Bombyx mori: one gene and its partners. The protein of the gene in region 1 binds, or shares a complex with, the protein of each later gene. Links are inferred from orthologs where the notes say so. Each region holds a gene or a part of one and is shown on either strand. Other genes may lie near its edges. The genes, in order: protein CWC15 homolog, pleiotropic regulator 1, beta-catenin-like protein 1, pre-mRNA-splicing factor ATP-dependent RNA helicase DHX16, protein crooked neck, pre-mRNA-splicing factor SPF27 and cysteine-rich PDZ-binding protein.

Evidence for each region.
Region 2: protein CWC15 homolog (region 1) and pleiotropic regulator 1 share a complex: the UniProt entries of both Homo sapiens proteins name them as parts of the PRP19-CDC5L splicing complex. The link is inferred for Bombyx mori from reciprocal best matches to the Homo sapiens genes CWC15 and PLRG1.
Region 3: protein CWC15 homolog (region 1) and beta-catenin-like protein 1 share a complex: the UniProt entries of both Homo sapiens proteins name them as parts of the PRP19-CDC5L splicing complex. The link is inferred for Bombyx mori from reciprocal best matches to the Homo sapiens genes CWC15 and CTNNBL1.
Region 4: protein CWC15 homolog (region 1) and pre-mRNA-splicing factor ATP-dependent RNA helicase DHX16 share a complex: the UniProt entries of both Homo sapiens proteins name them as parts of the minor spliceosome. The link is inferred for Bombyx mori from reciprocal best matches to the Homo sapiens genes CWC15 and DHX16.
Region 5: protein CWC15 homolog (region 1) and protein crooked neck share a complex: the UniProt entries of both Homo sapiens proteins name them as parts of the minor spliceosome. The link is inferred for Bombyx mori from reciprocal best matches to the Homo sapiens genes CWC15 and CRNKL1.
Region 6: protein CWC15 homolog (region 1) and pre-mRNA-splicing factor SPF27 share a complex: the UniProt entries of both Homo sapiens proteins name them as parts of the PRP19-CDC5L splicing complex. The link is inferred for Bombyx mori from reciprocal best matches to the Homo sapiens genes CWC15 and BCAS2.
Region 7: protein CWC15 homolog (region 1) and cysteine-rich PDZ-binding protein share a complex: the UniProt entries of both Homo sapiens proteins name them as parts of the minor spliceosome. The link is inferred for Bombyx mori from reciprocal best matches to the Homo sapiens genes CWC15 and CRIPT.

Annotation. Positions count from the first base shown.
Region 1 is NC_085110.1:8,228,336-8,232,305, forward strand, and holds the end of protein CWC15 homolog, read right to left. Parts: intron 3,749-3,970; coding exon 3,469-3,748; intron 3,253-3,468; coding exon 3,148-3,252; intron 1,128-3,147; coding exon 990-1,127; 3' UTR 779-989; downstream 1-778. Other genes in the region: protein 60A, read right to left, coding at 1-198. UniProt on the Homo sapiens protein: Involved in pre-mRNA splicing as component of the spliceosome. Component of the PRP19-CDC5L complex that forms an integral part of the spliceosome and is required for activating pre-mRNA splicing.
Region 2 is NC_085129.1:1,617,306-1,621,556, forward strand, and holds the start of pleiotropic regulator 1, read right to left. Parts: upstream 3,023-4,251; 5' UTR 2,794-3,022; coding exon 2,678-2,793; intron 2,391-2,677; coding exon 2,263-2,390; intron 1,789-2,262; coding exon 1,552-1,788; intron 1,133-1,551; coding exon 1,046-1,132; intron 524-1,045; coding exon 438-523; intron 77-437; coding exon 1-76. Other genes in the region: uncharacterized protein LOC101740918, read right to left, coding at 4,046-4,251. UniProt on the Homo sapiens protein: Involved in pre-mRNA splicing as component of the spliceosome. Component of the PRP19-CDC5L complex that forms an integral part of the spliceosome and is required for activating pre-mRNA splicing.
Region 3 is NC_085121.1:10,823,087-10,827,391, reverse strand, and holds the start of beta-catenin-like protein 1, read right to left. Parts: upstream 3,078-4,305; 5' UTR 2,875-3,077; coding exon 2,845-2,874; intron 2,765-2,844; coding exon 2,570-2,764; intron 2,087-2,569; coding exon 1,940-2,086; intron 1,677-1,939; coding exon 1,545-1,676; intron 991-1,544; coding exon 831-990; intron 698-830; coding exon 606-697; intron 50-605; coding exon 1-49. UniProt on the Homo sapiens protein: Component of the PRP19-CDC5L complex that forms an integral part of the spliceosome and is required for activating pre-mRNA splicing.
Region 4 is NC_085110.1:11,489,192-11,493,538, forward strand, and holds the start of pre-mRNA-splicing factor ATP-dependent RNA helicase DHX16, read right to left. Parts: upstream 3,024-4,347; 5' UTR 2,869-3,023; intron 1-2,868. Other genes in the region: WW domain-containing oxidoreductase, read left to right, coding at 3,678-3,706, 3,975-4,098. UniProt on the Homo sapiens protein: Required for pre-mRNA splicing as a component of the spliceosome. Contributes to pre-mRNA splicing after spliceosome formation and prior to the first transesterification reaction.
Region 5 is NC_085124.1:5,696,638-5,701,176, forward strand, and holds the start of protein crooked neck, read left to right. Parts: upstream 1-1,719; 5' UTR 1,720-1,882; coding exon 1,883-1,921; intron 1,922-1,994; coding exon 1,995-2,180; intron 2,181-2,525; coding exon 2,526-2,641; intron 2,642-3,531; coding exon 3,532-3,688; intron 3,689-3,782; coding exon 3,783-4,539. UniProt on the Homo sapiens protein: Involved in pre-mRNA splicing process. As a component of the minor spliceosome, involved in the splicing of U12-type introns in pre-mRNAs.
Region 6 is NC_085118.1:940,765-945,238, forward strand, and holds the start of pre-mRNA-splicing factor SPF27, read right to left. Parts: upstream 3,095-4,474; 5' UTR 2,951-3,094; intron 2,781-2,950; 5' UTR 2,638-2,780; coding exon 2,563-2,637; intron 1,855-2,562; coding exon 1,691-1,854; intron 879-1,690; coding exon 666-878; intron 1-665. Other genes in the region: WASH complex subunit 3, read left to right, coding at 4,154-4,210, 4,368-4,474. UniProt on the Homo sapiens protein: Required for pre-mRNA splicing as component of the activated spliceosome. Component of the PRP19-CDC5L complex that forms an integral part of the spliceosome and is required for activating pre-mRNA splicing.
Region 7 is NC_085130.1:5,681,258-5,685,713, forward strand, and holds cysteine-rich PDZ-binding protein, read right to left. Parts: upstream 2,803-4,456; 5' UTR 2,541-2,802; coding exon 2,368-2,540; intron 782-2,367; coding exon 652-781; 3' UTR 573-651; downstream 1-572. Other genes in the region: drebrin-like protein, read right to left, coding at 3,682-4,304. UniProt on the Homo sapiens protein: As a component of the minor spliceosome, involved in the splicing of U12-type introns in pre-mRNAs. Involved in the cytoskeletal anchoring of DLG4 in excitatory synapses.

The DNA of each region.
Region 1 (3,970 bases):
AGATCTTCTGGGTCTTTCTCCTAAGCCTAAAAGATCTAAAATTTCATGTTCTACTACCATGCGCTCGTGTCGTGTAATCGTATGATGAATTATCGTCTGATCAACACCATTGTCAATGTAAAGTCCGGAAAGTATGGCATCGGTGACCACAGTAAACAATGCAAAACACGCACACACCAACTGCACAAAACCAGCCATATTCGTTGTGAGAGCGTCTGCGACTGGCTAGTGGCGAGTTAACGAGATGTGAGACGCGTCATGGCCAGCCGCGGGATCTAGCTGTGGACCTGCCCACTCAAGGTAGGCCGCCGCCGCCTGCTCCGCACTTACCACTGCCTCCCCTCTCACGCCTCACTCACAACGCCGCAATAATAAAAACATTCAACTTCGCCGGACACGTCAGTCTGGTCAGTCCGAACTCCGAATGTTAATAAGTTAATTTAATAATTATTTATTACTACCATTAACAATGCAGTTATGTACTTTAACGGGTGGCGTATTGATTATCAAATCGGGGCAGTAAGTTTGAATTTTTTGTAAATTAATCTCTTTAATACCTTCCCTAATTTAGTTTGGATACCCCAACTACCAAGATTTTTACCACTGAAACTCAGAAGTTGAGTCTCAAATTTCGAACCCGAAAGCAATGTTCGTTGTTATATGAGTAAATTAGACACATTATGCTAATGAACTGACCTCTATCTGTTGTTGAGGAAACAAACATTACTTTTTATCAGTAACGTGACATTAACTTGAAAATAAACTTTATAAAATACTATTTGTTTTCATATAATTTATTCAAAACAACAAAATGACATTTTTTTCATAATATTTACTAAAATTATATTGGTTTTCGTCAATCTTTTCTTTACGTGTTTGTAATATCCATAGTAGCATTTCCACTTCGTTATCACTATTCCGCTTACAATAAGGTATAGAATCGCTTTTAACAACTTTAAATTTAGAATTACAATATCAATAATGATTTACTATTTCACGTACTTTTCCATAAATTTCTTATGGAACTCTGATCTTAATGAGTCATTTATAAAAGTATTAGGTTTCTTTTCCGGTTCAGAACGAGCGCAATTTTTGAAAACAACGTCATCATCCCATCTTCTTTTTACCTGGAACAACCCAAAAAAAATATAGATATAATATTACGATTGTCCTTTTTTTTTATTTGCATAAATGGGTGTACGAGCTCACAGCCCACCTGGTGTTAAGTTGTTATTGCAGCCCATAGACATCTACGACGTAAATGCGCCACCCACCTTGAGATATAAGTTCTCAGGTCTCAAGTATAGTTACAACGGCTGCCCCGCCCTTCAAACCGGAATGCATTACTGCTTCACGGCAGAAATAGGCTAGGGGATGGTACCTACCCGCGCGTACTCACAAGAGATCCTACCACAAGTCGTTACGCAAATTAAAATTTGCAGGTTTGATTTTTATTACACGATGTTATTCCTTCACCGTGGAAGTCAATCGAGAATATTTATTGAGTACGTATTTCATTAGAAAAATTGGTACCCGCCTGGGATTCGAACACCGGTGCATCGCTCAACATGAATGCACCGAATGAGTTATCCTTTAGGCCACGACGACTTCTTAAATTCTTCTTAATCGACCCTCATAGATGAAGGTTGTGACTCTCATAACTCAGTCAGTCTCTCTCTAATGATATCATGTAGAGGCCTAATGACGAGTTGTGCTGAGTGGTGCCTCTGGGCGTTCCAATACCGGATTCATCCAATGCTTGAGCAGATTATGTTAATGTTCTTAAAATCACTTTCAATTACTTTTGCATTTTTGTATGGTATTTATTAGTGGGTGTACAAAATCACAGTCCCTGTGGTGTCAAAACAGCAACCAGTGTTTATAGAACCGAAAATGTAAAATAATGAATCAACCAAAGTCTAAATGAAATTATTTAATAGTCTTGAATCCTCAATATCTGCCGCTACATATGCATAATGAAAGGAAAAATAATTTTTTTGTGCATTATTAAAGTATTCCCTGTGGAGTATCAATGATATTGATTCAAATACAAGTAAACCGAAAACAATAGCAACAATACGTTTTAATAGTTATTTTTATAGCATAGATAGGTGAACAAACTTATGGCCAACCTGGTATAAAAGGGTTATCTGGTAGTTGTCAGTATACTTCACCAATGAGATATCAAAACAGATACTGATTGAATATTATTTGCACATGTTTCAATACACATCATATTATTATCATATGGCAAGGATATCTAAAATACCAATACACAACAAAAGCTCTGAATAATTATAATCTAAGTGAGACCCAAGTTTATAACCACTTAACACCAAAAAGACAATGCTAGACATACTTGGAAGAATGAAAAATAATATCTTGAAACAGATTTGAAAAGTACCATAGTGTACCAGAACAGAAACATACAACACATACATAAACATACAAACACATAAATATGCCATAAAAAAAGTAAAACACAGATAGTATTGTTACTATGGAATAACAAAATAACAAAAACAAAACACCAGCAAAACAACAAATGCCAATTAAAAGATGCATTTAAATTATTTATCAAGATAATCCTGGTCAATGTGTAATTTAATAATGTAGTATCATGAAACTGACTAGCCAGAATGAAGAACTTGTACTACAACAAATGAATACCTACCCACTGCAGAAACTAAAGGTCATCTACACTTTTTTTATTCCTTTGATGGGTGAATTAAGTTCATGGCCCATAGAAATCGACATCTTAAATGTTGTCACCCACTATGAGACATGAGTTCTAAATATCAGATTTTATACCAAACGAAAACACATTACTACCCCATTCTACTGCCATTCATTAAGCAAATTATAATTTTGGTGGGTTCGATCTTTATTAAACACTATTTGTTCATGATGGAAATCATTTGTCAATTTACGTTAAGTATATATTTCATTACCATTGGTACCTGTCTGCAGGATGAGAGCACCGGCACAGTCACATAGCTTTATACAAATGCACCGGGAGTCTTTATCTTTTAGGGCACAATTACTTCAACATTGATAAATACAACATCAATGACATCTGCAGTTCAGTTCAATCACCAAACAGTTATCAGGAGTTAAAACAAAATTCATTTTAATGTTTTTAATTACCTTCATGTCATTCTTCTGTCCTGCAGCGGAGTAGTTGAGTAAAGGATTACCCGATAATATGTTCTCCATTCTAATTCTTTCCTCTTCTTGTTTCTTTTCAGCTTCCTATAAGGTAAAACAAAATTGATTTGTGCAACAAGGTTTATTTGTTATTTGAATTTTATTTAGTTTGGGTATCAAAATACACTAAAGTACACTAAAGTTAGACAAATTAAAAAAAATATATATTGTAAAATTTAATTTAAACATACTTTGTGTACATCAGTACAAAAATAGTCTTATAGTATAGTATCTAACTCTAGTATCTAAGATATATCTTACTTTTTTAGCTTGTTCAATGGCCCTTTCCTTCTTAATTCTGTTTAATTCTGCTAGCAATGCAGCAGTATCATCATCTGAATCATCAGAGTCAGTGGAATCGCCTTCAAGAGGATCATCAGCATCAAGACTTGCTGCAGGAACTTGATCAACCTTAGTTCTTTTTGCTTGTGGTTCACTTGTACGTTTTGTAGTCGTAGTTTTAACATCTTTTTCTCTATCATCCAACTCCTTACGAAAATCACGAGAGCGTAATTCCTCAGATGTCCCTTGACCTGATTCCCTATTAAAATAGATTTTAATATTTGACTTTTTCTTTACATTTTGGTGCATTACAAACGTGGTATTTATGCTTTGAACGAGTTATACATTGTGGTTTTGAAGGGTAGCGTATTTTCTAAAACAATAATTCAAGTACTCTACCTTGTCTCAAGATGGCTTTTTATGAGGTCCGTTAAGCACTTACCACCACGCGGGTCGTAAGTCCAACTTCGCGAATAGGAAT
Region 2 (4,251 bases), on another chromosome or scaffold:
ACACCAGCACGTCGAGGCGCGGGTGCAGCGCCAGACACACCACGGCCGACAGGTGACCGTGGTACTGCCGGATCACCTGCACACACAACGAACCGATCCTAAATACAAAAATTCATCTGCTTTATATACATATAATTATATGGAGTATTTCAGAATGAATAAACAATAATGAATTAGTTGTGGTTTCTGTGATATAGTAAGAAAGCAACATATAAAGCCCTTAACCTCAATTAAAGAGTAAACAGTACATATTATTAATAATAAACTATACAAAACTGAACTCTCTTTTTCACTTCACTCCATGACACTGAATAACACTGAAGAAAAATCCTTTTTAAAATCTAAATAGTTTTAAATAATAAAAGTTTTCTTTACATATATTTAAAGACATATCATTTAACCTATATTTTTTTGTTATTTATAGGTCAATAACTCACTTTGTTATATTCTAAGTCCCAGCACTTCACCTGTCTGTCCTCACCGCAGCTGAATAAATATGGATGTCTTGGTGACACTACCACTCCTGAAATAGAATATATTCATATTACACATACTGGTACTTGATGGATTCTTAGATCATGATTTTCACAATTAACATAGACTCAACCTACGGTCTCTGTGCGTACAACATGATGAAATATCCAGAACTGTGTTAATGTGAAAATTATGATCAGAACTTGTTATGTAATTCTGTAATATACATAGCAGCAAAAGTTTGAAAAAATTAAAAATGTCTACTATTACTAAAATAAAAAATTACTAAATTAATTAAGGAACCGAAGATTGGGTTTAGTGGCGAGCTTTGGGGAGGCTTATGTCCAGCAGCAGACTGCCGCAGGCTGATGATGCTAAAAAAATTACTAATTTAGTAGGCAGCGGCTTGGCTAAGCCCATGGCATTACTGAAGTTCCTGGGCGACGGTAACCACTCACCATCAGGTGGGCAGTGTGCTTGTCTGGGCAATAAAAGAAAAATGCGTTCATTATTCAAAATCTGAAAACCAAGCATTGATTTTTGCATGAATACAAAAAGTGTGCGCACCTACCTCTTACTGTACTCACATGTCCAGTGAGAGATACTTTTAGTTTCCCACTTGCTAAATCCCATACTTTTATCACTCTGTCAGCGGCACCTGAAATATCAAAACCATCATGCAGATTAATTCCTTAGGATTGGTTTTATTGTAATGGTTGTGCTAAAAGTTCATTATAACAGAAAAATGAAGTAACTTTAATCATAAATCAAGTTTATTTTTTCAACCGTTCATAGGACAACAGCTTGTCTACACAAATACAATATATTGATTATCTAACTGTCAAAGTTTATGTTTTGTGTTGTATTGATAAAAAAGTCTTATAAATAAGTATATTTAATATGTAAAAATCAAACTTTATATTAATAAAATTTTTAAGATTGACAAATTTGTAATTATAATTCTTACCACATATCCTTCTTCTAATTTATACTAAAAGGATTAAATATATTAGTTAAATGTTGGCATATTAGATGCCATTAGTTTGCTCTGTATGTGGTTTCTATAATTTTACTTACCGGTAGCAAACCACTCATTTCCAGGTTCTACAGCAACACATCGAACCCAACCCAGATGACCTGATATAACACGCATTAATTTCCAGGGTGGGTGCCATTTTGGTTTGGGCATAGACGGCGGTTTCCGTGGTACAGTTAAAGCCCCCGAGGGGGGAGCTGGTGACGGTGAAGGTGTTGGTCCAGAGTATGGGACAACAGCCCCTTCCGACGGCAAAGGTGCAGTTTCCACTGTTTCTGCTAAAGAAAACATTCGATTTATTTCATTGCAATATCAAGGAGTATTGGACCGATTTTTTATTGAATGTAATGAGCATAGAACTCATGAGGTCCACAGCTAAATTCTTGCTGTTTTTTTATCATAACGAAAATGCAACTTTGTTGTAAAAAAAATTCCATAAAAATGAATAATTTTTTTTTTGTTTCTGTATTTGATCCATATTTCTGGAATGTTCTCGATTTTTGTAGAGATATCGTATTGACTATAAAAGCGTTGCAGAGATGACATGAAAGCAGTTATTAAAAGGATCTACTCAAAGCGAAACAGCAAACGGATCACCTGAAGCGAAGCGGAAGAAGTGAATTACGAATTGTAAAGTGTTTGGTAAGTGTTCTTAGTTTTAAATAGAGTTTTAATATGTACTTCAGTGGAAGTTTTATTTATCCTGAGCCTAAGCGCTTAACCGTATATAGGAGTTTGTTAATTGTTTTTACCTGTGGTCAGTGGAGTTTCAGGTCTACAGGTGACAGACTCTTGTTGTTTCAGGGCCTGAGCCTTCCGCACTGCACCCATGACTTGTCCGTAACTATCTCTTGCTTTAACCAATTTCAGTACTTTCTCTCTGTTAATGTAAAATTATAAATAATAATTATCTACTCTAGTGTTTTATGTAGTTATACATAACGTGACATTTTCCTCTAATTTATTTACCTTGACAACATTGTCTGCTCCCATAAAGGTTTTCTCCAGTACAGTAGAAAGTTTTAAAGGTTTAGCAGAAATTTTTTGATACGGAACAACAAATCGCTTAGTTTGTCTATTGTACCGATCTTTGAAATAGCTCATCGATTATTTCCATTAGGACTTGTATTAAACTAACCTCAAATAATATTATTCTGTTTTACTTACGCTTTATCGTCGATTGGCGGCAACATTCCTTGATTAGCTAGGAACATATCGTGCGATCTTTTCAACGATCGAAACACTAAAGTGTGTACAGAATGTTTAATCACGTCCTCAGACATTATGAAGTTATTAATTAATGTCTAAAATTACTTAAAGAATACGAAATACTATTAACTTGTAATATTAAATCAGCATTTAAATTCAATTTTATTTTTAATTAATGCATATTCCTTATGATTCTTACGAAAAGCTTTTTGGTTTTAACGGTGTCGAGACCAAGAAATACCCGACAACAAACAGCAACAACTTTCCTACAAAATAAATCCTACGTCAAACAAACGTCAAATGGACGGTATGAGCAGCGTCACTGTCAAGTGTCACTGTACAGATAATAAAAAATTTGGGCAAATGAATGCAAATCTCGATTAGCCTGCAACAAACATAATTATTATGATTTTTTGAAATTACCATTTTAATTGTTTTAAAACAAACATTTTAAATTCCTCTTATTGAGCTGAAATACTAAAGGGTATTTGAAGAAAAAATTTATTGTTTGTTGTTTATGCTTGTTGTGACGGATAGAAAGTACGGATTTGGCTCAGAATTTTATCAATAATTTAATTAGAGTTTGCTCCTAGAAATGAAAAAAACACTGTTTACACAACGTCGATTTTATTCATAAGTACAAAATTCGAGCATAAAAATTCATTGCGAAGAAAATTGTGGAATTGATTTTCAATAAAATACACAGTGGACTATATCTATATTTACCTCTAAATTCACAAGTAGGTACGAACATGACTAGAAATTGTGCTTACAGACTAGAAACTAGACTAGATACAGCTGCTCACTAGTTTTCGAATATTTATTGATTTAATGATAGCTATTTGTTATGTTAAATTACATACAATAAACATCCTCCAAAGTATTATTTACATTGTACAGTGTGCCTGGTGCGAGTTGTTTTAACTTCTCGATCGTGTAAAAGTTACTCAAAATTGTATGGAGCTGGGGCAGTTACTCTGCGTTTGCCGCTAAAGGCGCTGTTCCAACTCCATACAAATGGTACTAAGCACATTGTACTGTTCAACACACAGACTTGGAATACTTAATAAGTGCATACACAATATTTACATAAACACACAATTACCGTAAAAGAGCATTTTAGTATTTATGAACGAATGTTAATCACTGAACTACCAGAAATTTCGACGACGATTTTTCAAAACTAAAAAAGCATTACACTCAGTGAAACAAGAGTCAATAGTACGGTTGTTAAACGAGACGGTCAACGTTCGAATTTTCAATCGACTGCCAATCGTAATCGATTTCAGTTGTATCGGCGACGGAGAATACCGCGCCACTCTCGGTTCAGATGGCCGATTTCTCTGGATTATTAGCGTCGCTAACGCGGCGGGAGTGGGGCGCGCGGCGCAGCGTCCTCGGCTGAAGGTTCAGAGGAGGCAAGTTGGGGCGTTCGATCCTGGTTGGCGATGACACGAGCGGTCTCGTTCTGCGCAGCGTCTCGATACCGTTACGGAAGTAGTCCTCAGCTCTATCGCTGTAATTTTCTATCA
Region 3 (4,305 bases), on another chromosome or scaffold:
ATAAAATTTCTGTTGCATACAGTTTGTTCCCATCAAAAGGCAGTTTAACCTGTAAGAATGATTTACTGTCACTATAATTTTACATTTTAAAATTAAAGCAAGCGTATGTCTGTGAAATAAATGTATTTAAATATGATTTTGGAGCGGTGTTTAGGTGTATCCATATGAAGTAACTGTTAAATCAAAAGTTTTATATCAAGAGTCAGGCAGTTCTTCAGTGGTTATTGTGAGCACATAAAACTGTGTAAAGGTCAATATGCGAGCGTTGTCTACAAATTCGATAGTTCAAACATATTTTTTTACGAACAAACTTTCCTCTAAATGCTGTTAGCATTATTTACAAAAAATATTATTTAATTTATATGCATTATGTACGGCATGCTAATTATTGCACGGAACATTTGACTGTGGCTCCGACTAGGAGCTTTGGATGAAGAGAAGGTTCTCATTTGGAGTACATTCCTTTCTTGGTTATATATTTAGGAATATTTTTGTGAAGTTCTTCACACTAGGATAAAAGACTGCACTGAAGGCAGACATGCTTGATAAAGCATCTTAGATTTGGTTCAATTTTAGCTATAATTAAATAAAATTAGTATGGTTACCTTCAGTCTTTTTAGAATCCACTGTAAAAATCCTTGTTTTGCTACTTCAATACAAAGCTCTGGTCTGAATTCTGTGATATTTTCAATAATACCTTAAACGATAAGACAAATTTCATTATCTCAGTTATTGCCATTATATATTTATCATTCTATCATAACATATCATATTTATTAGTTTGTAGTTAAATGGTTAAAATGAAATTCTTATATGATATATTGACATACCCAGTGTATTATGGACAGCGTCTCGTTCATCTGGTACCTGCTCATCCAATCGAGTCAGGTTGTGTAGTAATAATGCAGGTGCTTCAGCTTCAGCCATTGCATTTATTAAATCTTCCGCACCTTCCTCACTCTCATGGAGTATGTCAACATCTGTCATTTCCTGAGGTACATCAATTGTAAATATTATCAGAATTACAATTTTATTACTAGTTTATTACTATGGCAAAATATTTTTTTTAAATATTGACAATAACTGCATGAAATGTCATCATTATTTATTTTGGTACAGTAGGCAGTGGTTTGGCTCTGCCCCTGGCATTATAACATAGATGTTTGTTTGAGATAAAAGATATAGAAGTAATAATTGGGTCAGTTTTTATTTTTGACCATTTTTTAAAAGGTTAAACCCTTTCTTGTAACCTACATTTTACGGACAGAAACTGTCATATACTCTATATCAGTATTGCCACATATAAATATGTAATTTCATTGAAAATGACGCACAACATCTGGAAACACAAATAAATGATTTGCATGAGTTTATTTAACCCATAGACTGCCCAAGACTGATACAAAAGAAAGAAGCCCGAGCCCTACAATCCAGCAGAGGGTAATAGGCAAGAAAGAAGACATGAGTTTTTTATCTTAGTCATGCTTACACTGGATACTGAGCCCAGCAATATTGTTTTGCAAAATTTATAAGCATATACATACCTGTAGCAGTTGAACAACTTTGGTGGAGACATCAGTATTATCATGTGATAGTAATTCTAATAATGAGTTCACACACTTTAATTCCACAAGCAGAGGATACTGGTCTGGTACTGTTGCGACAGCACTTAAATCCTGTAATAATTACAATTCTTATGATTTTTTTTATTTTTTAATGGCATACATGAGTGAATAGCCCACCTGATGCAGCCAAAATAGTATTATGTAAGAGCCTAATGCAGCCAAAATTCCAATAATATTATGAAATAGTTGTTTAATACTTCAGAACAGAACACATAACTAAATTGCAACAGAAATAGGATGGTTGCGCAAAGCCTTGAGGGCTGATAATGAAGTTAGTATCAGATTCTTCTGAATATCATAACACAATATTATACCTGTAATGCATCATGTAAATCAATTTCACTGTCCATAAACTTGTCTGGCTGATCAGGAAATTTAATCCTCATCTCTCTATTTCTAAGTGCTTTCTTTTCAAAATTGAGAACTAGTTTCTTCACTGTGGTTTCATCTAGTACTTCTCCCTGTAGATTCAATACATTTATGAGTTTATAATCACTATCTTAATTGAATAAACATTAAGAAGTATTTCAGATTATGAATTAAAATTGTTCAGAGCTTCTGACTCAATAAACTAATTTTCTTTTCATCTTGCCCTTTCTATGTATGTCTGTCATGAGTATGATCTTATTTATTCCGTTGCATCTTTCAGGGCCCGAGGAGTATTCACTCCTACTTATTGCATTAATACATAAAATGAACTCTTTTCATTTGGGATTTCTATAATTCATCTGTTACATGTCCCTCTTTAAATTATGTGTGAACAATGACAACTTCGGAGGTTAGCTTGGTTTTTCTATTAGCATTAATGTCCATAAGTGACAAAGACCATTTGAAAACAGGATTGCCTAATCTACCTTTGATGACAGCAAAATATACAGGATGGTTTAAAAACTATTAATTTTTGTTTCATTCTTCCTTAATTTTACAAATAATACAATAATTACCTCTGTTACTTCAGTGGCAACAAATTTAAGAATATCTTCTCGTTCTTTATCAGTAATCGAGGGTTCCTTCAACATATTCTTGCTCAAATGTACAGGTTCCTGTTTAAGTTTGGTGGTACGACGAATTTTAGCACTTTTGGCTTGATCCTCCTCATCGCTCTCATCTTCATTTGGCCGTTTTGGTGTTGGCGTAGGCTGCGAAGTTAATATTTATGTTTATTCGTTTTTTTGTTGAATTAAATAAACTGTTGCACCGTTATGATATAGAATATTACTTTGAATGTCAATAGCTCGGCAACATCCATTTTTTGTTTTAAGCGAAAAGGTAATTTTTGGGCTTATTACGTATTGGTGATATTTTTAACTGTCCTGAGTTTTCATATTTTAATTCAAACTTCTCAATGTCCATAAAAGTCCCTATTTTTAAGGTTAGTTTCAAAGGTTTTTTTTTTGTTGTTTTTAATCATATTAAGTGTATAATCTATGGTTTTAATATTATGCCATAGATATTTTTTTTTTAATTTTGTGACCTGGTGACAAGAGACCTTTAGGTCATATCTTCTTATTTGGAAGATAATTTTTAAATTTATGAGCTATGCATAGTTTTTTTTTTTATTGCTTACATGTGTGGACGTGCTCACAGCCCACCTGGTATTAAGTGGTTACTGGAGCCCATAGACATCTACAACGTAAATGCGCCACACACCTTGAGATATAGTTCTAAGGTCTCAGTATTGTCACAACGGCTGCCCCACCCTTCAAACCGAAACGCATTACTGCTTCACGGCAGACATAGGCGGGGCGGTGGTACCTACCTGTGCGGACTCACAAGAGTGTCCTACCACCAGTAAAAAAGATACCACTAAAATAGATACTAGATAGTACCTACACAACTATTTCACCATTTCTTTTTTTATCCAATTATACAGGTGAAGGGATACGATGAATTTCTTGCAAAGTACTAAACTCTTTCTGCAAAAATGTATGTGCCTTTTGAGGAAAAAATGAAACTCGAAAGAATATGGCAAGAAAGGCTACAATAAACTTCTGAGTAAAATGGTGGAAAATGTAATTGAGATAAAGATAAAGTGTAAATAAAGGTTTTCTCGGTTAGTGAGCCCTTTAAAATACCAGTAATGCCATAATAAATAGCTTAAAAAACTTGCAATCACGGACAGCTCCTAGATCCGAAAGCTTGCACAACATTAAAATTTTTACCTATTCAACTAATAATTGTGTTCTCCATTTTAAATGCCGCTATGGCGAGCTGAATCTGTCTCACGGTATGGATCAGAGGTTATCGGCATACCCGAAAACTAGAAAAACTTTAAACGAACCCACGAGTTACTATCCAATTAGCATCTTTCCAGCAATAGACAAATTGTATAAACGTTTGATTCGCTTGAAACGCTTCTGGAACTTCGTCACATCGAAAGGCAAAGGTACAGTCATTAGATTCCGTGCTTAACAGCCGTGCATCCAATGACTGTACCGCCTCACGGAGCACATCTTAGTAAAGCTAAATAGACCCAGACCCATTCCTCATACTCTCGACCTGATGGAATTTCTAACACCAAGTCTAAAAAGAGTGGTGCTTTGCTAAATCACAAGATCACAGGATCGAAATCGCGGCCTGCAGAACTGAAGATCTTCCAAGAAACTTAGGTAGTGTCTGTGGGTTGTACGTTCGAACTCTTCCACAAGAACGTCGACCGGTGCTCGAAATGCTATAAAGC
Region 4 (4,347 bases), about 3.3 Mb from region 1:
TGATTAATTGAGATTTCCAAGCGTCAGGGATATAACCAAAATTAAAACATGTATTTATTAAATTTAGAAGGAACTGACGACTATGTTGACCAGACATTTTGTAAAACGAGTAGGGAAAGCCATCTAAGCCAGGAGATGAGTCCTGGACATATTTAAGTACAGAATTTAGCTCATTTATGGAGAAAGGTTCGTCTAAAGGATCAACAGCGAGCATATTAATTGCCAATGAGGGACACTCATCAATAAGAGGAGCATAGGCAGGAGCCAATCTGTTAATGAATTGTAGGGCGATGCTCCGTGAGATATTGGGAGAATTTTGAGGGAAGCATCCGCGTCTAAATTTTTTATAATTTTGCCAGACTAGGGAAGACGGGGATGAAGGTGAAAGAGAGGAACAAAATTTTTTCCAACTCTCATACTTTTTTTTCTTGAATGTGCGCTTGGATTTAGCCACTATTCTGTTAAATTCCCGAAGGTTGGAGAGGGTCATATTCTTGATGTAATTAAATTCAGCTTCTTTCCGGGATTTAATAAGGTCTGTGCATTCTCTGTCCCACCAGGGAGGAGAAGATAATTTTCCCAAAGCTGAATTTTTCAAGGGAATACTCAGATCTGCAGCAGCTGAAATGGAATCTGAATACAAACTCAAACAAGCATCCAAATTGTCAAAAGAGATTTGGGGAAAGGAAAGGATTCTTTTATCTAGATTCTGTTGGTAAATGTCCCACCTGGCGTCAGTAATGCGATACTGCAATAAGGGAGTTCTATTTTTGCTGGGGAGAGACCTATTGGAAAAGGTAGAACAAATAGGGTAATGATCACTACCGTATGTTGAATTAAGACGTTTCCAGTCTAGGGAATTTACTAGTGTGGATGAACACAGTGTTAGGTCCACACAGCTTCTGCTTTGACCCGGTCTAGGGAGTCTAGTGGCTGATCCATCGTTAAGGACGTATAACCCTATTTCATCTATTAGCTCTGCCAAATATGTACCTGAAGCGTCACAATGGTCAGATCCCCACAAGAAGTGATGACAATTAAAATCTCCCATAAGAATAATTGGGTTCAATAAAATACATAAATTTCTTAGGAAAGGAATACATATAGGGACAGAAGGAGGGAAATAAATGGAGATAAAATTAATACCAAGGATGTTAACACCAATGGCATTAATCTCGGCTCCATGAGGAGGAAGAGAAAGAGAAGAAGAAGGGAAGACATTGTTGACCAGTATAGCAGCACCACCATACCCGTCATCACGGTCATCACGGTAGGTGCTATAACCTGGGATGTGAAATGGGAGATGTGGCAAGAGCCACGTCTCAGAAATTGCAAAGATTGCGGGATTATATAAATTGATTAAATGGAGAAAGTCATGTTTTTTTGGGAGGGCGCTCCTGGCATTCCACTGCAAGAGATTTAGATCCATTATGGTGGGAAAAAATAGTGTCAATTATGTCATTGGCAACGTGGTCAGGTAGGTTAATTTTAGTTAAAAGAGAAGCTAGTAGTTTAATTAGAGAGAAGATTTCACTAGAGGGAATATCTTCAGAAGGAGAAGAATTTTTACTGAGAGCGCAGCCATTAGTAGAGGGAGAAAAAGAGTAGGAATTAGTAATAGCTCTATGGGTTCTTTGATCATAGCCCGGGACGTGAGGGGCATGACTTTTAGGCTTCTGGAGGATCGTTTTTCTGTAGGAGGAAGAGGAAGTCTGAGGATGGAAACGTAAGGACGAGGGGGCTGAAGGAATAATATGAGTTGTGGGAGGGACTGATGCTGAAACATCAGCAAAGGACTTTGACACAGTAGGGAATGTTTTGGATGCTTCTGCATATGAGATGTTGTTCTGGGCCATAGCAACTTTAATATTTTTTTGTCTCTGGTATTCAGGGCATTGCTTGCTATTAGCACAGTGAGGTCCAGAGCAATAAAAGCAAGTTGGGTCCTCTTTAGTGCAGTTCTCACCAAAGTGTTCATCACCACAGCGGAAACAGCGGGGCTTTGAGCGACATTGAGTTTTTGTATGACCGAATTTACAGCATCCAAAGCATTGTACAGTAGGGAAATAATATATATCTACAGGGAGGGAATTGAAGCAGCAAAAGACACGTTTTGGGAGGGTCTGACCATCAAATGTAAGAACCACAGAGGAAGTAGGTTTCCACTCTGGTACCCCATCAGTAATAACTTTGTGATTAATGCGTCTCACCTTCAGTATTCCGCCACAACCAGATGGTGTCTTAATATTTAAAGCTATCTCTTCTTCTGACCAGTCATTAGGCATACCCTTAATAATACCCATCCTAGTGATATTATAAGTCGGGATTAATGAGGAGTATCCATTTTCTAGCAATTCTTTGTTGGTCAAAAATGAGTTTGCATCCTCTGGAGATTTAAACTGGACAGCAATCCTATTCCGACCTATTTTTTTGACTCCATCAGGAAGAACATTTTTAATATTAAGTTTGATCATCATCTGTCCAAACTTAATGGGGTGGAGGGTAGTTCCCGATTTCGGGTCAGATTCTGTACGAGTAACATGGACCAAAAATGGAGCCACATCCCTCGCAGAATAGCGTTCGCGACTATACTTATTAGGTGCTAACGGTCGTTGTTGTTTGGAAGTAGACGAAGCAAGATCATTATCATTGTTGGTTTCGAGAGCTCGCTTACGATGATGTGCCTCAATTGACTCGAAACTAGTTAATGGTACAGTAAGGACTGGTGAGTATGTAAAATCACCCTGAGGATGTTGTCCCTCATCGTTCCAGGTTAAACTAGGATCTGGGGGACGTCCAGGGGGTCGATCGTCAACCTCCATGATCGGCCCGCATTGACTACGCGAGATTAAATAAATGAAAACTTACCTTATGACTTCACACAAAATTTGACAATCACAACAAGAAAAACAAACACAGATAGATATAGGCAGCAAAAAATATAACCAAAAACACAAACAATTAAAAATTAAAAGGAAAAGTCGTTCGCATGTGCTAACCATCAAACACCGTCTCCTTAGTAAAATTGATTGTTTTATTTTTCACTTTGACTTTGACATGTTTTGTTCACTTATAAAGCAAAGGGAACATAGTCCGTACATGTAGTCAGACTAGTTAGACACGTCTTTTGAGAGTAAAATTAAATAAAACGAACCGAAATAATTAGAAGTAGAACAAAATTATATATAATCTTGTTTTGTGATTTTTATGGGCTTTAGTGGCAACCGCTTAAACTAGATGCTTTACGAGCTCCTGTTCATTTACAGGAATAAAAACATACAATAATTTAATATTTTATGCGAGTATTTTCGATGTATATGTACTCATTCGCGAAACAGCTGCGCGAGCAGATTGGCATCCTTGAGGACGCGCTGTAAAAGCTGTGAATGCCTTGTAGATATCCGTAGATAAAAAAGATAAAGTTTCCGTTAAAATCTTTAAAAGATCCTGTAATTTAGTACAGCATGAAGTAAAACTGAGAAAAGAGGATTTATAATAATATGTAAACCTACTTTTCATACCAGAAAGTGATTGTTTTCTCTACCTATGTTCTTTACATATATTTTTAATGACACGTCCTGTACAAAAATAAAAATACGGTTTATGTGCAATACTTTCTGCTTTGTTTCCTTATAGCAAATATATACAGTTTGTTTTTAGTATCATTTTATTAAGTTATGCTACGTTTTGTTGATCGTATGGCGACGTAAGTATACCAACTGTAAAATTATACTTGCGACTTATCGGTTTCTCATATCGCGCTACGATATTTCGAATGGACGGCTAAGTAAATGTTATGTTCTTCAAAAATGCGCTTACTTTGTGTGGCAAGTAAAGCTACTTGGAATAGCTGGTATTTTATAAATTAGTCGATTAATCACAATTAAAAATAATTGCAATTAGCGGCTGAGAAGAATATAAAGTCATGTGAGTAATTTTTCTAACATTTAATTTTATTAATCACTCATTTTCAGCGTCACAACTCGAAACCTCATTTTAAATGATAAAGTAAGAGCCTTTAGTTCTTCTAAAGTCAAATCTTTGGTTGAAAATTATTTTGATTTAAATTTTCGAATACACGGACCAACTGGCGAAGAGGTTTGTTACATTAAAATTTGTCCTGTTAATGTCTACGTAAAAATATGAATTACATGCAACCAATGCATAAACATTTAAATTATTAATTTCATTTATTTTGTAGTGACCACTTCCAATAAGACGAGTGGCAAGATGATTCGATTTCTTCTCACCAAGACGAACAAAGCACGAAAATAAATATTCTGTTTTCTTTTTTCCTTATTTTGATCTAAACGTATTTTAAATTGATAATAATACGAGTTAGGTGCA
Region 5 (4,539 bases), on another chromosome or scaffold:
ATAATAATTACACAATGCAAATAGAAATTTCAACCTCATGCACCAATATTGGTAGCGGCATTGAGGTTGTGATGTCCAAGAGCTCTAGTCACCACTTATCAGTTGGCCGTTTAGGTTTATCGACATGGTTTATTTAGAGGAGCATATAAAGACTCTAGATATCGATTCTCGATTTTTTCAACAAATCCATTAAATTCTCATTGCATTATTATTATAGCTTAGCCAACTAAGCCAACATATTTAAATCACCTCTTAGTGTCTATGGTCTTCCTGTTTAATTTAATTTCTTATTAAATACGTTACATTTGTTCCATTTCATTCTTCGTACAATATTTTCAGCCTTAGTTACAAAATATTTGCTGTATGGCCTAGTTACTTTTGTCTGTCCAATAAACGAACTAAACATTCTCTGTGGTTCGATGGCTTAGTTTACATATTACGTGTATTATCTGTGCTATTTATCATAGATACCTACCTACTTGGCTTAAAAAACTTTGTTTCGAAGCCACTAGAAATTTATAAAAAAAAATCTACCTACTACCTACATATCACTACTAAAGATGGGTTAATACCGATATTTGTCAATATTAGCGAATACGAATATATTCATGATGTAATATTATAATAACTTAACTAATGCGTGAATATATCCTGATATCTTAATATACTTCGATAAAACGGGTAAACGAGTTAACCGAGTACGGTATTCGTGAAATAAGTTAATAATCATAGATAATACACATAAATTAGTTATTAAATTAATATAAATAGTATACTGTATCTAGGAATTTGATTTCATACTAAATATTTTACAAGTAATATTATGTACATTAATATGAATATTATTATTAAACCAGAATTTGGTCAACATTGTACATTAATATAAACAACAAGTTAGTAATATTATTTATTTCTTATTGGTGCATAAAAACATCAGCTTTTTTACTTTTTCTACCGAATGACCGGTACGTCGCTCAGAAATGAGTATTCCAGATTTCGAAAAAATCCTCTGATACGGTACTGAGGTGGCTAGTAGGTACACAACAGTTATATTAATAGTATAATCCATGAACCGTTTGGTTAGAAAGTCATTTCGATTCAAAAATCAAACTTTTATTTATAGTTTGAGAAGTTCTTAGAAGATAATTAACTACTACCACAAAAATATATTGTCATCATAATTTATTACATATAAACATTTAATGAAAATAAAGCTCACCGATTTTATTCCAATAAATGTGGAAATGCACTATTTTGTCTTGAGTCGAATCTTTAGTACAAACATAAAAAGTAATGCATTTAAAAATTCCCACTGGCATCTTTGACATGTAAAAAGTGCAATACAAAATAGTCCTTAAACTCATAGCGAAATATAGTTATTTTCATTGCTCAGTATATAAACATGTAGATTATCTCACTTACTCTTAGCGCATGCAGTGCATTGATATGAATGTGATAAACAGATATCCGCGAGACACGTACGGCGTATGTCAGTATATTTTCGTGTGATAGATATTTCGCTAGGAGTAACAGTGTTCTGTGGATAGATACAACCCGACTGATGTGAGCTGGCTATTATTATGAATAAGTGAATACGGAATATTAGCATATCAGAATTCGACGGATTACCGATAGACGAATACAAGCTGTATTACGAATATCTTAGTGAATGCTAATATATCGGTATCACCCTTAACCACTACCTACCGTATTCACTTCTCTTAAAAATGTGTATAATCTATGCTTCTCATTTTGACAATAAATAAAAAAAAAACCTGAAGATTTCCTTTCCTGTACTTAGCTGTTTATTGTATGTAATCAAATTAAATTTAGGTTAAACTGAACTAAAAAATTATAAACTGTGCAGAACGTAGAACTTAACATGGACAGCAAGACAACAAAAATGCCGAAAGTGGCAAAGGTACGAAAAAAGTGTTTGATGGTATTGTTGAATAATATTACTCCAATTTTAACATGGATCTCACGATTTTTAGGTGAAGAATAAAGCACCAGCAGAAATCCAAATAACAGCTGAACAATTACTTAGGGAAGCCAAAGAACGAGACCTTGAGATATTACCACCGCCACCTAAACAGAAAATATCTGATCCTGAGGAACTTCGAGACTACCAACATCGTAAACGTAAAGCATTTGAGGACAACATAAGAAAGAACAGACTTGTAAGTAAATTCAATTTATTAGTCGCTTACAATGTATAAATGACTGTTTTTCCTATTAATGTAATTGTTTCTCAGTTTTAAGACCATCCAATGCTTAGTTTTACTAGCTGATAGAGTTCACCAAATTAATTTCATTAATTGATTTCGTGCCATTACGATCCTTTGAACAATATAGGTTTCATGCTGTTTCCACAATAAGAAGGGTACTAAACAATTTCTACTCAGAGCATTACTGACGAAAACCAGATGAGGATACTTTTATTTAGTAGTATTTCTTCAAGAAAACAACAAATAATATAATAATATCGAATTTTAGTTTAATGGATGCTTTGTTTTTGTTTTCAGGTTATTGGGAACTGGCTTAAATATGCACAATGGGAAGAATCACAAAAGCAAATCCAAAGAGCTCGTTCAATATATGAGCGTGCTTTGGATGTGGATCACAGAAATGTTACCTTATGGTGAGAGCTATCATTACAATTAACAATTTTATTTGAAAAATTATTAACTTATGTGCTCTTGGTACTGCCAGTGTTTAAACCATATGACTATTTTAAAAAATGTTTGAGAAATCTGTGGTGTTAATTTTTTTTTGCATTCTTGGCTCATCTGATAGTAATTGTTAGTCACACTACTGAGTACTCTTTGTAAGCCTCATTTGAACAAGGACATATTGTTGGATCACTCAAGACATGGGCTTTAGAACAAAATTCATGTCACAGTGAAGAAAAAAATTAATTCTTAAAGAGTTACCATACAAAGATCAGCTTATAATAGAACATATAAAAAAGATTCCTATGTCACTCTGTTCACATTACAATTTTATTTGGTTAGTAAACTTGTAGACAATTGTGGACGAAATGTTAAGATGTTTGATATACTTGTAATGACCAATACAACTATACTAGAGTTCATAGCCTTTGTGCTACCTAAAGCCCAATATATTTAAGGAAATACATACCCGATATGAAGAAATTTCATAAGTAAATAAGAACAAAGTGTCATTACAAAATTGATACTCTATTAATGTATTGTGAACTGGCATGTAATATATCATCCTGCCTATTTCAACAGTTATGCATTTGGTTTGAATTGTCCAACAGTTGTTTTATAAAGGAATTGAGACTTCAATCTCAAATTGATGCCTATTTAGTCCAAGAGCCACTTATTTAACAAATAAAACAATCTGTACTTTGAAAAATCTGTAAAAGTCATGGACTTTCTTGGTAAATTTCTTACAGTTTTAACTGTTAAATTTGCGTCACTCTTCAATTATCCACACTACCTTAACTACCTGTACTTTAGGCTGTTATACCACACCAAAATATTCTCAGCGTATCATGGGTTTTAGGCTGAAGTATACTGAAATGGAAATGAGGAACAGACAGGTAAACCATGCCCGTAATCTATGGGACAGAGCTGTTACAATTCTGCCAAGAGTATCTCAGTTTTGGTACAAATATACTTACATGGAGGAAATGTTGGAAAATGTAGCTGGAGCAAGACAGGTGATATTTTTTATACATGTACAATTTCTCGTATAATGATAATAGTCACTGACTGTAACTGAAACAAGGTTTCTAATTTACTTTTGTTTCACAGGTATTTGAACGTTGGATGGAATGGCATCCAGATGAGCAAGCTTGGCAAACATACATAAACTTTGAATTGAGGTACAAAGAACTTGAACGGGCTAGACAAATCTATGAACAGTTTGTTATGGTGCATCCAGATGTAAAGAATTGGATAAAATATGCAAAATTTGAAGAAAACCATGGTTTCATAAATGGCTCTAGGACAGTTTTTGAGAGAGCTGTTGAATTCTTTGGTGATGAAGAATTAGATGAAAGACTGTTTATAGCGTTTGCCAAATTTGAAGAAAATCAAAAAGAACATGACAGAGCAAGAGTGATTTACAAATATGCTCTGGATCATGTCCCAAAAGACAGAAATAAAGAACTTTATAAAGCTTATACTATTCATGAAAAGAAGTATGGTGATAGATCTGGCATTGAGGATGTAATAGTAAATAAGAGAAAGTATATGTATGAACAGGAAGTTATAGAGAATCCCACAAATTATGATGCATGGTTTGATTATATTAGATTAGTGGAGAATGAGGGTAATTTAGATGACATAAGAGACACATATGAGAGAGCAATTGCAAATATCCCTCCTTCAAAGGACAAACAATTTTGGAGGCGTTATATTTACTTGTGGATTAATTACGCTTTATATGAAGAGTTAGAAGCAGAAGATTTAGATCGAACAAGACAAGTTTACAGAACCTGTTTAGAATTAATTCCTCATAAGATATTTACTTTCTCAAAAATATGGCTCATGTATGCTCAGTTTGAAG
Region 6 (4,474 bases), on another chromosome or scaffold:
TTTTTCCCTCATGAACCTCCGTAAGTGAGACTGCTACTATTCTATACCTCTATAAGCGACAGTCGAGCTTTATTTATTTATATTATTTAGGAGGAACAAATGACAAAACAAATTACAAATTTAAAATCTGCTATTTTATGACCCATTCTTAACTTTCGTGGAACTTCTTAACATTGTTTTTGTATTGTTTTCTCGTCAATATTGAACCTATTCTATTTCGTGGAACTAAATAACGTTATTATTTTATGGCATTCTTTTCGAATGGACACGTGTGCCTGTGTACCATCTTGTTTGTCAGACTTACTCAGTTTATCGTTAATCAATTGCTGTCATTAAGTGATAAACTTAAAATAGTGAATTCGTTTGAATCCGTAAAATCTCTAAATGAAATTCAGAGGGAGCATTAGAGAGAAACTCGGGTTAGTGAGAAACCTCTATAAGCGAGAATGAGATTGTGCTCCCTTGAACTCTCGCTTATCCAGGTTTGACTGTAATAGTTTGGAGTTATATAAAATCCTACAAGCAGTTCTAACCTACTGTTTCTATGAAAGGCAATAAGGGTCAAAGCAACAGACAATTACTTCCCTAGGCTCTATAATCGAAGATAGACTCCCTGTCAAACTAACAACCATTTAAATATAATTTCTATGTTATACATCTCTTACCGTAACTGGTTGTGTTCGTTTTGAGCTCTTGTGACTAATGCTTGAAGTGTATTGAGGTATGATCTCCATGCTTCTGAACCGTACTCTAACTGCAACTCTAAATTGAGAACTCTGATAGCTTGGTGTGACAGCTGTGCATGAGAGTTGTCAACTGACTCGGCCCAGGCACTTGGTTCACTCATTCTTCCGACTGGAGGGGGTGGAAGTTCATACCTGAGGAATTAATTATACATAATATTTCAATAGTTTTTTTTTTAAAACCACATTCCTGTGCTTCACTACATCACGTGATCACTCAATAGTGATGTTTGTTAACATGACCAGAGGATTTGGCATATTAACAGTCAGCATCACAAGATACCACTTAGTAAAAGTTACAGACCTACATATTATATCTCCTCACAATCTTACTATTACTTCATTATCATCATGTTCATACTGTGGCATCAGTAGCCAGGCTGACTCAAATACCAACTTAGCTTACAAACCTATCAACTTAATTGAAGTCGTCGTGGCCTAAAAGATAAGACGTCCGGTGCATTCGTGTTGAGCAATACACTGGGTGTTCGAATCCCAGGCGAGTACCAATTTTTCTAATGAAATACCTACTAAACAAATGTTCATGATTGACTTCCATGGTGAAGGAATTACATCATGTAATCAAAATCAAGCCATTAAGCAGGCCGAATGCAGGCAGCATTGGAGGAAGCTGGTGCAAAAGCTGGACCAAGGTGGTCACGACCCTCAGTAATGAGGAAACGACAAAGAAGAAGAAGAAGAAGAATCAAAATCAAACCCGCAAGTTTTTATTTACGTAATTACTGATGGTAGGACCTCTAGTAAATCCGCGCGGGTAGGTACCACCATCCTGCCTATTTCTGCCGTGAAGCAGTAATGCGTTTCGGTTTGAAGGGTGGGGCAGCCGTTGTAACTATACTTGAGACCTTAGACCCTATATCTCAAGGTGGGTGGTGCAAATTAAAAGAACAAAATAATAAATAAAAAAAATTGCAGGTTTTATGCACCTCTTCATAGACAATGGTTCCATCGGCAATCTCTGTTGCACTCTTTCCATCTCTCGTTGTAAAGCAGGAGTTTCAAATGCAGAACTTGGTTCTGGTCCTGCATTTTCAAGATAGTTCTTTGTGGGTCTATAGCGTCTGCACTCTTCTTCCACCATGGCCAATGCCTGAAAATCAATTCCCATATTTAAGGGTAGTTTAAGGAGTCTTCTATAAGTAGGTTTGATTATAAGGACATTTTATACTGCAGTATCAATAAGAAGTGCTTTAATAATACTTTTTTGAGACAGCTTCCCAGTCACACAATCAATTATTACAATAGCAATGAAACAAAATAATAAAATCGTGAATTGAATTGAATTTGAAATTGACATTAAAATTGAAAAAGAATTGAAGCAAAAGTGCTTTGTAGCTTACAGTGTATGCAAAAATTCCTAGAAGTTCTGCATTTCCTAGACTGACCAAGATGAATATTACCAAAATTACTTCGTTTTGTATCACTCAATGCAAAAAGGAACAAACAGAAATCTAATTTCAAATTGATCTTTGGCAGTGGTCGAACCAAGACTATACAAATCGGTTTATTCTAAAGGTGAAATTATTCCATTTCGAAAAAGGAAGTCCTTCGAAATAGCATACATGTTCAAGAAACAACGAAAAAAAAACATTTTTATATAAATCTCTCAGCGGTGACTGCGCATTTTGAAGCAGACGAGAATATAACCCACATTTGTGAAGTGTGGTCGTTCAGACCAGCAATACCAAAATGATTATTGAATTTCTTTCTCTAGATGTCAAAGCTAAAGCGATATGAATCTTTGTTGTAAAGGAAATGGTCCAAGAATTAAAAAAAGTAAGGTTATCATAATACTTACAGCTTCTCTTACTCCAGGATCGTCATATCCTTGGTCTATATATGGTAATGCATCTACGACAACTTCTCCTGCCATTTTCTACAAAATTTATAACTCCCTTTACTACGAATGGGTACTGTGATTTATCACTTTATATTAAAGTTTTAACGCTGTTCTTTGTTTATTTGATTTTAGTTGTGTCACTTGTGTGACATTCTTCGTTTGAGCTAGTTTTAAGCCTAAAATGAACAGGCAAAAGAAATATAGTCCATATAGCTAAATCTTTTGAATTCCTCGATATTCAATAAATTGATATTAAATTAATATTATATTATAAAATGGAATTTAATGAAAGAAGAACACATCGAGTAGATATTAGATGAGTTGATAATGAAACAATGGTGCTTACTGAGAGATCAACGAACTTATTTTGAAAATATTCTCGAGTGGCAGCCACACACGACGCAGCTTAGATAGACTTTCGACGAGGTGAACTGACGTCCTACTGAAAGTCGCAGGAATCTAATAAATACGGTCGCTGCACGTCTAGGAGTGGATGATTTGTGTGAACACGTCCAATGTTTGTTTGATTTTTTAAAACTTGTGCCATTTCACATGTATTCAGTGATTAAAAAGCTTTCATTACTACAAAATTAGACATTTTATTACAGATACATTCGCGAAGCAGTTGCCCTTAGCTGTTAGATCTCCTACGGAGTCGTGGCCAGGTCAGGCCTTCGGTACTTTGGAGGATTGGCTTGTGCGGCTTTTCGAAGCCTGCCTTGAGCCCGGACGGAAATCGGACAGATTCATCCTTCTGAGGAAAGAGGAGCTCCTCTAGGAGTCATCCGTGGTGTACCACCACATCGTGTTGCTGGACGAAACTAGAAAATTGTTGGAGCAAGTCGTGGATGCGTCATCTGCCCCATCCCCAGGACGGGTTCCAATCGGTCAGCCGAACAGTACGGCTTCAGAAAGGGCCGGTCTACCATCGACGCAATCATGCGTGTGTGTACCCTCTTTGATGAGACTGTTGCCCGGGGCGAGGTGGCAGTTTCCTTAAAGTCTCAGTAAATAACCATCATTTTACTTAGATTTCACGCCAATTGATTATTGTTTCAAATTAATCAACTCTATTTCATTTTACTTCATATTATCATTTTTCATAAAATACAATGATAACTTAGGCTGTATCGTATGATACTTTTGCCTTTCCAGTTGGAAAAATAGAACTACTACAAATATTGACAGTGGACAGTAGCACTATTGTCAAAGAATAGTGTTATATTGATAAATGTAAATTAATGATAATAATGTCAGACTTAGGTGGTGGTACCGTACCTACTGTACCTACTGAAATATTCCTTTTAATTTGCTTACATACTCTTTTAACGTAAATAAATAGGTACGACTGTCACGGAAGGAAAAAGATTGTTATTGTAAAATAATTAGGTGCTTTTTATATTAAACTTAGTGTAATTAAAACTCGTGGACCTATTAGTCAATGTATTGAAATGTAATTCAATTTGGTTTTTTCAGTAGAACAAAACAAATTCAAGCTTCCAAACCACAAGACAAATTTCTTTTTCGTCTTGTTTATATTCTACTGAAAATGACCATCCAAGAAGATTTAACTCAATCCGAATCCCCACAAACGGATTTAACTAAGGTTTTAAATTTGGAATTATTATTATTTGTTGTAAAATTTAATGCAGTACAAACTTCACGGCCTTGATTATCTTTATAAACTTCCTAATTCTAGAAAACACAATATTTTTTTATAAATGAGAATAATTTATTTTTAATATTTAAAAAACAAATTGCAGGTTGCGGCATTACATCAAAAACGTACATTGGCATTTGTAAATCATTTCCTAACAATAAATGTACAATTTCTGAATAACTTTATGACGAATTGCGAGCAGAAACTGAT
Region 7 (4,456 bases), on another chromosome or scaffold:
TAGTGAAGGTTTTGAACCGTATTCTTTGAAGGAGACGATTATATTCAAATCAATCTGTATTGACATATCAATAAAAATATTTTGTCCAAATGCACAGATTGCCACCTTTGATAATAGACGACTCATATACACATATGTTTAAGTAATATCACCTTCACACTACACCTACCAAGGTTCATCTCTGCACCCCCCTAAGGTAGACTGTTAGAGAATGCCTATGGCATTAAGTCCTTTATACCGTTTAGTATATAAAGTTATAAATAAATAAATAAACATATATTCAGAATTATTCAGATTATTTAGAACATAGATAGGACAGATGACAACTTGTAACAATCATTATAATTTGTCATCATTCATGAGTGTTAGAATTATTCTCATTTCATTTTTGAAACCGATTTCTTGGATTCAAGTCTTGATTATCTGTAGTACCGCTAATTGTGGGTGTTCATAGGTTGGCATTACAATCCTATCTGTTTATTCCTCGAAGCAATCACACTTTACCATCCGTGAGGAAATTTCCAGTATCTTTATTATTATCTTAAAATAGTCCAAGGCATATAAAGCATTGCTTTACAAATACACTATATTTTTTCTTTTAGAACTTATTTAGGTAATGTTTCTTATGAACTAGGATAACATAACAATAAACTAAGTTGAGCTCTGTCTGTAATTCTTAGTGTCTAGAATCTTCTTTCCACACATGGCACATATACCCTTTTTGTATGCACAAGCTTGGCAGTAATGTGATCCGACCTGGTGTACTTTCGTTCTGCAGATTCTGAAAAATAAAAGAATATATTTTAAAAACTTTTAATACATTTTACTGGAGGTATGGTTAGACCTAATAGACGCCTTTGAAATGTGGAGCTGGAGAAAAACGTTACAGATTCCATGGAATGCCTTTCTCACCAACGTGACTATTCTGAGAGAGCTTAATATCATAACTAGTCTTTCCAATATATGCCTTCGTTGGGTGCTGGAATTCTTCGGACATATTGCCCGTAAAGAGGGTCACAATCTAGAACAGCTGATGCTGACAGGAAAGGAAGATGGCAAACGTCCAAGAGGATGCAGTACCACGAGATGGTCGGACTAAATACAATCTTCTCTGAACATCAACTTCCACAATGTCCTTCATGAAGCTAAGGATCGCAGCAGATGGAGGGAAATCGTACGGAAGAAACTGATGCAGCGGGGGAGTTCAGTAATGAGGAAAACGACACGAGGAGGTGGAGGTGGTATGGTGTAATGTACTGAAATAGGTTCCACAAACCTAGTTATTGCAACCATAAATTTGTCCCATTTTCAAAGGAGAGCCATTTTTAAATTCGAATAAATCTTCAACTGCATCTCTTCATATAAAAACAACGTACACATTACAATCATCTATGGCCCTATTAATCTACCCATGTAGTGTACTAAATAAATCACTCAAGAGAAGAAGGGATAATGAATATAAAAAACATCCTTCAAACAAGTAACAACTAACTTTTATTGTATTGTTATTTTACATATTGGTAACTAAAAGTCCAGCAGTATTTAGTGTGTTTGTCTGAAGCGTTCGGGATTAGGAAGTATTATTATGAATATATGAGGCAAAATTGGGGAAGTATTATTAAGAATGTATGAGTTAAAATTGGAGAAGTATTATTAAGAATGTATGAGTTAAAATTGGGGAAGTATTATTAAGAATGTATGAGGTAAAATTGGGGAAGTATTATTAAGAATGTATGAGGCAAAATTGGGGAAGTATTATTAAGAATGTATGAGGCAAAATTGGGGAAGTACTATTAAGAATGTATGAGTTAAAATTGGAGAAGTATTATTAAGAATGTATGAGTTAAAATTGGGGAAGTATTATTAAGAATGTATGAGGTAAAATTGGGGAAGTATTATTAAGAATGTATGAGGCAAAATTGGGGAAGTATTATTAAGAATGTATGAGGCAAAATTGGGGAAGTATTATTAAGAATGTATGAGGCAAAATTGGGGAAGTACTATTAAGAATGTATGAGTTAAAATTGGAGAAGTATTATTAAGAATGTATGAGTTAAAATTGGGGAAGTATTATTAAGAATGTATGAGGTAAAATTGGGGAAGTATTATTAAGAATGTATGAGGTAAAATTGGGGAAGTATTATTAAGAATGTATGAGGCAAAATTGGGGAAGTACTATTAAGAATGTATGAGTTAAAATTGGAGAAGTATTATTAAGAATGTATGAGTTAAAATTGGGGAAGTATTATTAAGAATGTATGAGTTAAAATTGGGGAAGTATTATTAAGAATGTATGAGGTAAAATTGGGGAAGTATTATTAAGAATGTATGAGGCAAAATTGGTTTTTAAACATCAGGATTACTCACTTGCACTGTTGAAATGTGGAAGTGTACGGATTAAATCGTCCTTTTTTGGCGGTTAATGCTTTGTTTTCTCCAACAACACGTCCGCCGGACTCCACGGTATTCCTAGCTCCAGCCTTCCAAGGGTCCGGCGTTATTACTCTGCCCAATTTCTTTTCGCACTTCTCACAAACCATTTTTGTTCTGTTTCTTACTAACCTAACGAGCTTGTATTAGTACGAAATTTTATTAAATTGTTGTTTTGACTGAATAATATGTAGGTTATATTAATTAAATATTACTTATCAAATATTAAAATATGCTCTGCTAGTGAACAGCTAGTTTTATTAAGAAATCATAGTTAATACACTTAATATTTGTTAGAAATAAAATTTATTTAAGTTGATGTTGTTACTAATAGTTTTCTTTTGAATTGTCATTTGGATAGGCAACAGGAATGAAGCCCATACAGTCAAAACTTGTACCGAAGTGCGGTTCCGTGTCTGTGGTATTAAAAGTGGAACTAAAACAATACATAATACAAATTGAATTGGTTCTGGAATTAAATTGAATAAAGAAAATGAAATTCAATGAATTAATATAAAAGACGGTCAGGACTTAGATGAGATGAAAATACCTTGCAATCAAATGGGTGGACAGTTGGTTTACTAAGACGGACTTATTCTTCCTATTTTCCACGGACTTTTTGGAAGGGCCCGTTATGCCACGGCCTATTTTTCACTAAGACTACGGTTAATATTTCAATGTACTTTTACGAATTCTAATCGATTAATATGTAAATTTTAAGCCTGAAGAGACATTAAATTAAAAAGTAACAGCTTGAGTGCCCGCCAAATAGTCCTTAATGTTTCGTGCTGTATTTTCTTCAAATTAAATAGTGTAACGTCGGTCTCATGCAAACAAGAACTGCTTGGCAGTCCAAATAGGTTCGAAGCCAACTCGTGCCACTTATAAATCGCATAGTCCTACACGACTTCTGTGCGCACCCTGACCCTTAAGTACTTTGTATATTGTTTTAGAAACCGTCAAGACAAAATCGAGATCATGGGGCTTAAGTTGAAGAAAAAAACAAAATAATCACGTTTTCCCTGTAGATAAAAAAAACATCAAATAAAACATCATATCCAATTGCAATATAAGTATTGAGCGATTTATTAACTCGTTTCTCGATAAACATTTCAATAGATTTTATTATTCAACACATTCAACTTTCATAGTTTATTTATCCGACGCCGAAAGCTAATCTATATTAGTGGCACGTTACTCTATCAAAAGCGTTGTAACGGAATGTTGCAAGAAATAAAAACATACGAATTGCTAACTCTGATGTTCCTCCGCCATTTTCGTTGGAGCATCACTTGGATTTGTGTCATTTGACTCTGGGTAATATTGTTCTTGTGGAGCCTCCGCTGTGTTCTCATAGCTTTGTTCGTAATTCTGCTCGGGTTGGTAGTTGACTTCGGCTATGTTGTTGTATTGTTCTTCGCTATATTGCGCGTTGGGGTCAGCATATTGCTGATATTGTTCATAATTTTCATATTGTTCGTTTGCGTAAGTCGGCTCCTCGTAATTATTTTGGTATTCAGGTTGGTATTGCATTTCTGTTGCTTCGTAATTTTGTTCCTGTCCAATGAAATTCGCATCCTCTTGATAAGTCTGTTCTTTATGCTCTACGTCCATTGGTCTTTCTGATTTAATTGGTGCATCGTTTTGATTTTTGTAGGGTTTTTCATCATCTTTGGACATCGGTTGAGATTGATGTTCGTCGGTTATTGTTGTAGGCTCTTGGTGGTCGTGATGCTCGGGTTGGAGTCGCTCTCTGTCCGTTCGGTCTGTATGTCCGGTGTCTCCGGGGGACTGATCTCCGGGATCGTCGTGTCCGGGAGAGGAAGCAATAAAGGGTACGCTTCTGTCGGCTGGAGTATAGTGCGTGGGATGTGCTGTAATTTGATTAAAGTTAGTTAAGTATCTACGCCCTGAGAGAAGCCGAAAACCGAAGCAAATGGAAGCTGATGGTACAAAGAGCCCCGAAGGGCTTTCAAGGACACGACCTTCAGCAATGAAGTATTCGACTAAGAAGAAGAAGTATCTA